2 linked regions of the Arabidopsis thaliana genome follow. The protein of the gene in region 1 interacts with the protein of each later gene in a pairwise test. Each region holds a gene or a part of one and is shown on either strand. Other genes may lie near its edges.

Region 1 (4,210 bases):
AAGCCTCTACACAGTTTACAAAATTGAAAGTTACCTCGGAGAAGTCTAGCTTAGCAGCATTAACTCGGTTTCCCATCAATTTAACAGATTTGGCATATAGGATATTGTCTGATATGATCTTAGCAAGCTCGGGAAAATGCCATCCATACCATTCTCTAACCCTCATGGCGTATGTGTTCAGCTCTTTGTCAAGATCATCAAGCAGACCAATAGCTTGGATAATCATGGTATCCACCTGACAAAAACTAAACAGTTAGGAGATGCAAGAGAAGCAAAAACAAACACAGGAAACGTTTAATGTCGGACAATCAAAGGCTAGTTCAATACAGAAGTTCCATAATTTAACACAAGTTAGCTTCGATCAATTAACAAATTCATATACTTCACATATCATATCACCAAATAAAAAGACCAATACAATTAGTCAGGAACCGAAGATACCTTGTCAGAACTAAACTTTAGCTTATATCTGGCGAGACTGTGAGACAGACCCAAGCTCATAGGAGCCAAGTCTTGATCACCCAACCCAGATATGAGTTCAGTAAACTGACTTCTAACACCACGTAGAAGCTCCATAACAGCATTGTTGTGAATGCAATCAATTTTCTGTATGAAATTAAGAACTTTCATTAGAAACAAAACACAGAGCAGACAGGAATATGGGTGTAATGATGGGAATTACAAACCAGTTTCTCCTTGATAACATTCCCAAGCTTTGAATCAGCCACAGCCAAGGTTTCACCTTGACAATTAGCTTTCAAAAACTTGCGCAGACCTTTGCTTGGAGCTCCCTCCAGCAATTTAGCCACAGCTTCGAGAGCTTCAGATGTATTGTCAAACTTCTCAAAAGCTTTTAGCTTAACCATCTGGTACACCAATAAAAACATATGAGAAACTCAACACTAAATCTAATTTTAGATGTTCTGAAACCACACTTGATGAAGAAGCAAAAAAATTACCTTTCGTGCTGAGTCTGGAGTGTCGAACTCTTTACACAAATCCTGCAAAAAAAAATAAAAAATAATCCATGAATACTTTTAGAGCCTTAAGGATAAGCAAAGAGAGTACAAAAGAATGAAGAGAACTCACCTCGACGTTAGCCATCTTTCCTTCATCTTTAACTTTAAAGAGGGCAAACCCCGCCGCTGTCTCGTATAGCACTAAGACCATCTTCACAAAACTCTTAAGCTGGACCTGAAGAGAAAATTAAGACAACACTTAACTCAGAACAGTAAAGATACGTGTCCGAGTCACACTAATTAAACTAAAAGTTCGTTTTGAGATTAAAAACTAGCGAGAAACAGCATTCCATATAAACCCTAATCCTACTTTTAGATCACATAAGAAATACAGGAGAAGAAAAAACAGAGAGATAAACTACAATAGCCTTAAAACTCTGTCCGAGTATGAGTATTCGAAACTCCACAATCTCCAGCAAGAATGGAAAAGTGAAACACCGTGAAGAGAGAAGATGAGAGATATTAAATACCTGAAGAGTTAATCAAAGCAGCTGCGTGAGAGAGAGGAAGAAGATGAAGACGGAGACGGACAATCACTTAGGGTTTTAAGAGTGTGTTGTTATAGCAGTTAAAGACGAGCCGAGCCTTCTTAAAACGCCGCGTATTGTAAGGGGTATTTCTATAACTTCCATAGTTAGGGTTTAGGTTTTAAGATTAATGGGCCTGACTGAATGGATATTTTAATCTGGCCCGTTTATAATATTAATACGTGGGCGTTTTATTGTTCTCTTCCCCCTTAATAGTTTTTCTTTTTTAATCCCTTTGTTTCTCTGTGGTATTCAACAAATTTGTCTCGAATTTATAGAGCTCGAAGCTTCAAGGTACGGTTTCAAATTTTCTCGTTGATTTTCTGGGTAGATAGCGTTTTCCATACTTCTCTTCAACTTTATTTCATAGTATAGCTCTGATTTTGCTAAAACTTCATCTGATTAGTTCCGTGGATCCTGAAAATCACGATTTTGCGTGTTGTTTAGGGTTATACTCTGTAGTTGTGTGATTAGTGTTTGAAGAAGCTGGGCTAGTGTTCGATGTTTACGTCGATAACCTAATTTTGCAGGAAGTTATAATGGCTAGTGAAGATGAATCGATTGAACAAAAAGCTGCTGCTCGTAAAGAGGCACTTAAAGCTCTAAGGGCAGCTCAGGAACTGTCTGAGACCAAGGAAGACGGAGAGGATGAAGCTGTCGAAGAAGAGTGAGTTTGCTTTGTTCTTTGCTTATTTTGTTTGTCTTGACTAGCACATGGAGTTGTTAATGTTGTGTGTTGGCTTTAGCATAACTAGGAGCTTCTCTTGTGCTTTGCTTCTCGCCTTTACTATCACTGTTTGTGAGAGAATCAATAATGGTGCTCTTGCAGCATCTGTTACCTAACAATTTTTTCCAATTTCAAGTTGCATTGTTGTGTATACTTTGCTTAGGTGGTTGGTTTTGTTGATTGATTATTCGAGGTAGATTCCCTTTTTATTCATATGAATTGTCTTTGATTTTACAGTGGTCCAGCCATGAAGTTTAGAAACTATGTTCCCCAAGCTAAGGAGCTTCAGGATGGTAAACTAGCGCCACCAGAGCTACCCAAATTCGAAGATCCGATCGTTGCACTTCCACCTGCTGTAGAGAAGAAAGAGGTGTGTGTGACAGTTTTTCTTTTCTCTGTACAAGGATCACCAAAAGCGACTCTGTTTAGCATTGTTGTTTCCTTTACTTGTGCCTCTTAAGCTTACAAAAAATGTTATCATTGTAGGACCCATTTGTTAACATCGCTCCAAAGAAGCCAAACTGGGACCTCCGAAGAGATGTGCAGAAGAAGCTTGATAAGCTCGAAAGGCGGACTCAAAAGGCAATGCATAAACTCATGGGTAAGTGGCAACTGTATCTACATACTGATATCTTCTATGTAAGCTTGATAATTAAGACATTAGTCTGTGGTTCGTGAGTAAGTGAGTAACATTTCACTGAATCTGTTGGTAGTATGATACCAAATCATAGAAGTCCAAAATAGAGTGATCTGTTGGTGTTTGTTTATTATGGAACTAACACATGCACTTTCATCATCTAATTGCAGAGGAGCAAGAGAAAGAACGTGAGATGGCTGAAGCTGATGGTAACACCATAGAAAGTTGAAACCCAACGACGTCATCAAAGAAAGCCACCACTGAACAGTATATTCTACTCGATTTTGTTTAACTGTTAAAGCATTCGAAGTGAGTAGACCATGTAAAATCCTACAGCCATTGGCATAGACATAGTAGGTTTATCTTCTTGTGTGAATCAAAGAAAGTCGCAATTTATTTCCGAGTAGAATTAAGTGCGGTCCGGTTTTTCTCTAAATTTGGTTCAACATCGGTGGTAATCTAGTTTGATCATTAATGGAACTGCGTTTTTTGGTTTGATTCGATTTACTGTGGTTTGATAAAGACATCCCAAACTAGAAACCAAAGTTTTGATTCGGGCTAGACGGGTTTAGTTTGGAGTCTGGGAAAACAACACAGAGAGCTTCTAAGACCTTTCTTCTCGGCATGTTGCTTCCACAGTGGGATGATGGAGTTTAGATACAATATTTGTTTATTAATACCGAACAATCAAAAATAGATACTAAGTTTTTTTGTTTTCCAAAGCTCAAACCTAATGTACAAATTCAGTAAAGCTTTCGACACCATCTCACCTAAATATCTTGGACCTTTATTGGTGCCCACTTCTCATGAATCCAAGCTCCAAAGAAGAGAAGCTAAGTAAACACTAGGCCAAGGTAAACCAAGATATATGCTTTTCGAAGGAACAAGCAATGAAAAGCTATAGACTTCCATGTGATTAAATGCACCAGCAGACAGATCCCAATCTGTAGAGCAATAAATGAATATGGTGATATTCAATTTCAAGGCTTCGATCAACATAACATTATTGTTCCTATCATTTGTTTCAAACCAAAAAGAGCAATCTACAAAGGCTTTGGTATCAGGAGTTGTGAAAAAGCTCACATGAAAAATCTACCAACTCAAGTATCTCTATTTTTCTTTCTGATGAAAATACCTAATATGAAATCACCTTCCCAAGTAAAAACTGTCAAGTAGATGGAGCCGCTCAATAAATTTTATCTTGACAACACACCAACATAATGCATTACCACAAGTTTTCACCTTTTTCTAATATTTTACCTCAAAAGTTATCTAGCTATAGCCACTCTGTAGTTGAGAA
Region 2 (4,087 bases), on another chromosome or scaffold:
ATATTTACATGTTTGGAAAAAAAACTTGAGTAAAAGAAAAAAAACTTGATAAAAATCACTAAAAATTATGTTTACACTTGAGTTAAAAGCAAACATTTTATCTACATAAGATGATACTAATACAAACTAATGGCCTATATATATTTGTAATCCATGAAATTTAATTTTATTTTTGTAACAGACATTATGATTGTAACATTTTAATTTCTTTGCCCAAAAACAAAACATTTTATTTTTAAGTTATTCGACTTCTTATTTGTGTTCATCCCATTTTTTTGTTTCCAACCGATGAACAACGGAAGGTTGCGTCAAAACGCAAAGGGTTGTGTTGTTTGTGTTGAAGTGGAGCTCCTTCATTTTAGGAACAAGCAGAGGACGTTACACAATCAAACTCAGTTTCTTCCCTTATTTAACGTAACCACTAATTCTATTTTCTTGTTCTTTTACAAAGTTCATAAATGGAAATGAACACGTAAGAAGAAATAAAACAAAGTTCAAAACTAAGAAACAGAAAAACAAAAAAAAACATAAAAAAACATATAAAAAAAACATAAAATTACAGAAGAAAAAAATGGGTAGCTTCCTTGAGGTTCTTTGTGCAATCTTCATACCTCCTGTTGGTGTGTTCCTCAGATATGGCCTTGGGGTAAATTTTTTTCATTCATAAATCATAAAAATATATGACACATTTGACATTAATGGTCAAAGTAAGATCAAATCTCTTGTTTTTTTGTTTCTTTGTATATGTGTTTGCAGTTGGAGTTTTGGGTCTGTTTGCTTCTAACGTTATTCGCTTTTATCCCCGGACTGATATATGCCATCTACGTTCTCACCAAGTAGGAATAACCAATCAAAAACACTGGATCCTTTTTTTATTTTATAACTTTTTCTTTTTCCAACAATGTTTGCTTTTTTAGATTTTTTATGTTGTATTTAAGGAATCAGTTTTGTAATCTAGCAAACTTTTTGCTATGTTAGATGTATGTAAATTCCAGCAGTTTCCAAATTGCTGTTGTTCTAGTTTGCAGAGGTTATGGATACATTTTACGGATCATAAACAGATTTGGAAGATTGATGATATTATTATATGCGTGATATAAATTTTGAATTGTAGTAATACTACATCTAAAGAGTGATCAAATTATTAGTACCATTAGGAACTATAAAGTTCTGATAGAGATATTACATGGAGTCATCGATACACACAGTTTACTTATGCGTATAACGATAAATATAAACCTGTGTACATACATTTATAATTTTATATAGCTTCTGCAATTCCGATTTGAAGATTGCTTGAATCGAATACCGTGTGGTATAGGCTCCCATGAAGACGTTCCCAATAATCCCTGCATATACAAATTCTTTACCTCAAAGTGGTAAGCAAAAAATGTAAACAAAATCTATTGAAATCGTCCCATCTTACCAAAGAGGATCAATTGGTATAGTCAATGCTCTCCCATAATGAAAAAAATTATGAGCTACTTGGTTACAACAACGATTCGAATGAGAAAAATATTATTTTCTAACCTTAAATATCCAAGATATCGGTGTAAATTCCGATAATAGATGCGTCTATTAATCCATTGTTAATGCTGTCAATTAAGGTTTTTTGCAATCCCCTCTAACTCTCTAAGTGTACCTCGGTGAAACCTCGAATCTACTTTACACTAACTTTTAATTAGTTCGTACTAATTAACGAAAAAAAAACCTTTTAATTAATTCAGAAAGACAGAAACCAACTCCTTGAAAAAACAAATTGTTTTTCCGAGCCACGTGTATCACTTGGATCCGACGATTATTGTGTCCGGCCCATTAAGATAGTTAACACTTATTGGGCTTCCAAATATCAGCTAATTAGACACGTGGATCTGATTCTCTTCTCCGTCTTCTTCCGACAAGCTCGACGGCGACACAGCCAAAGAAACTACGCATCACCGGTAACGACAGAGATTGCTTTTGCTTCTGGTATTTATGTACCAATTCTGCTCTCTTTTTTACTGCTTAGATCTTAACCCATATAGAGTTATTATATCTGTTGCTCGTTTTTGAAGTTGCCCTTATACTGCTCGATGAAATGCCTCAGTGAATATCTTAATCACAAAACCGAATAGTTTCGTTTCTCTTATACTTAAATTAATTTGGTGTTGTTATTACAGAGAGAAATGGCGTTAAGGCAGAAGTTAGGATGGTCAGAAGGAGATCTGATGAGATCAGATGCTAAGCCATGTTCAAGACTGATGAAACAAACAGCTGCCATTTTCACTGTTGGTGGAGCTCTTGGTTTCTGGGTTCTTTGCAGACTTCACTATGGTAAACAAAGTTCTCTCCTTTCTAATCAGTGATTTGCGTTTCCATCAAAAGGTTGTTCTCCATATAGCTATTGAATCCAGTGCTCTGCATAATTGATTGTTAGAAAGATTTCTTGTAGCCTTATGAAAACATACCAATGCGTATTACCATTCTGTTTTCTGTTCTGTAGTATCCGTTTCTTATGAGAAAAATGAATCCAAAAGGAGCTTTGATTGAATAGTTTGATGTGGTGAAAGATTGGATCTTTACACGTTTTGGGAAGCAATACACTTGTTCTTTGATTCCTATTGTCATGAAAAATGATTCTTGGGGTTGGTTTGTTGTTTATGTGGTTTTAAGAGTAAAAGGAACGTAGAATAGAATAGTTGAGTCAATTCTAAGATAGAACGGTTATAAAAGCAAATGTTTTCTTTGGGAAATGTGTAGGTCCAAGGATCACAGTGCCAAGGAGTCTGCGGTGGGCTGGGTGTGGTGCTTTGTCCGTAAGCACATCAACTGCAATGCTTGTCCGTCTCTTCAGCCCTGAATGTGAACCACAAAACATTGCTGCATATGATAACATCAAAACCCCTCAAGCTTCACTCCCTTAAACCCCATCATAATCTGGCTTTACCTATGATGTGTATGGACCTCATCTTCTGTACATTTTCTTGCAGTACATGAATTTAGGTAACTATTTATAATACTACCAAATTCTGTCACTTTTTGTTTCCTTTAGAAATTATGGTGTATTTTTTCATATAGCCTTTAGGTTGATAGAGTTAAGAGTATCATCCTATGCTCCTCTCTCATTTTCGTGTGTGTTTGATTATGAGTGTAGTGTAATTGGCCATTGGTCACACTCTTTTGGGAGAGTGTTTAGCTTTCTAAAGCTTTTGCTGTCGAAGGGAAGACCTTTGGATTTATTTGGAGGGTTGGGTCTCACTATCCCCTCAAACTAGTCATAGGTGGAATATCCACACCGAGGTTGTGACTTCATGGAGATGCCTGCTAGTTAAATATGTGTAGGAATATGTTTGATCACCAACAAACCTAATGCTACCATTTCTCGAGCATAATTAATTAATTAATTATAATCGACATCAATGTGTTTTGAATGTGAGTAAAGAGCTAGGATTTCAGTGATATTGTCATATAGACACAGCATATAAGCCTGTGGTATTATAATGTCATGGAGAACATAACTTAATCAAGTGAATTCTGCAAGCTATGGAGGCCAAAGATCTAGCTTTTTGGAACGGAGGTTGTTTCTTTGCATTTCGAATGAAAACAATAGTTGAAGCAGAACATCCTTAGGTCAATAGTTTGAATCCGGTAGGGTCAGATCTTATTTTCTAAAGCTTGTTTCATTCCATTTTCAGTGTTCTTTGACAAGAGTATTACAACAAAATCGTTATCAAAAGAGAACTCAATAAGAGAAATGCATACATGTCAAGTTTTTTTTTTTTGGTAAAAGGTTAAGTTACGTTACATGCCAAGTTTGTTATAGGGAATGAGTGGAAATGTCAGAGGTTACTTTCACTATACTTGACACCTTATGATGTTTGAACCATTGACTAGGCAGACTACAAAACCAAAAGATCCATCCACATGTGGTTTTTGCACAGTTCTTGGCGCAAAGAAACAACCTCCTGTCTACCAACTGAGCGAAGGTCGAACTGTACTATTGCATTTGATACATGTGTAAAATTATAACAATATATGAACACAATGATTTTGCAGTACTTTAGAATATACAGAGTGATTCCTCTTTAAGAAATTGTAAACAAAGTTA

What was found.
Region 2: the proteins of AT3G05070 (region 1) and AT1G57540 interact in a protein complementation assay, tested with the Arabidopsis thaliana proteins (one large-scale study listed by BioGRID).

What each region holds. Positions count from the first base shown.
Region 1 is NC_003074.8:1,414,395-1,418,604, forward strand, and holds AT3G05070 (Cwf18 pre-mRNA splicing factor), read left to right. Parts: upstream 1-1,680; 5' UTR 1,681-1,840; intron 1,841-2,076; 5' UTR 2,077-2,085; coding exon 2,086-2,213; intron 2,214-2,510; coding exon 2,511-2,643; intron 2,644-2,759; coding exon 2,760-2,874; intron 2,875-3,080; coding exon 3,081-3,139; 3' UTR 3,140-3,448; downstream 3,449-4,210. Other genes in the region: AT3G05060 (NOP56-like pre RNA processing ribonucleoprotein), read right to left, coding at 35-235, 442-606, 687-866, 960-1,001, 1,090-1,170; AT3G05080 (uncharacterized protein), read left to right, coding at 3,644-3,751; LRS1 (Transducin/WD40 repeat-like superfamily protein), read right to left, coding at 4,179-4,210.
Region 2 is NC_003070.9:21,309,294-21,313,380, reverse strand, and holds AT1G57540 (40S ribosomal protein), read left to right. Parts: upstream 1-1,859; 5' UTR 1,860-1,968; exon of another isoform or gene 1,969-2,159; 5' UTR 2,160-2,165; coding exon 2,166-2,313; intron 2,314-2,739; coding exon 2,740-2,903; 3' UTR 2,904-3,486; downstream 3,487-4,087. Other genes in the region: AT1G57550 (Low temperature and salt responsive protein family), read left to right, coding at 572-646, 757-840.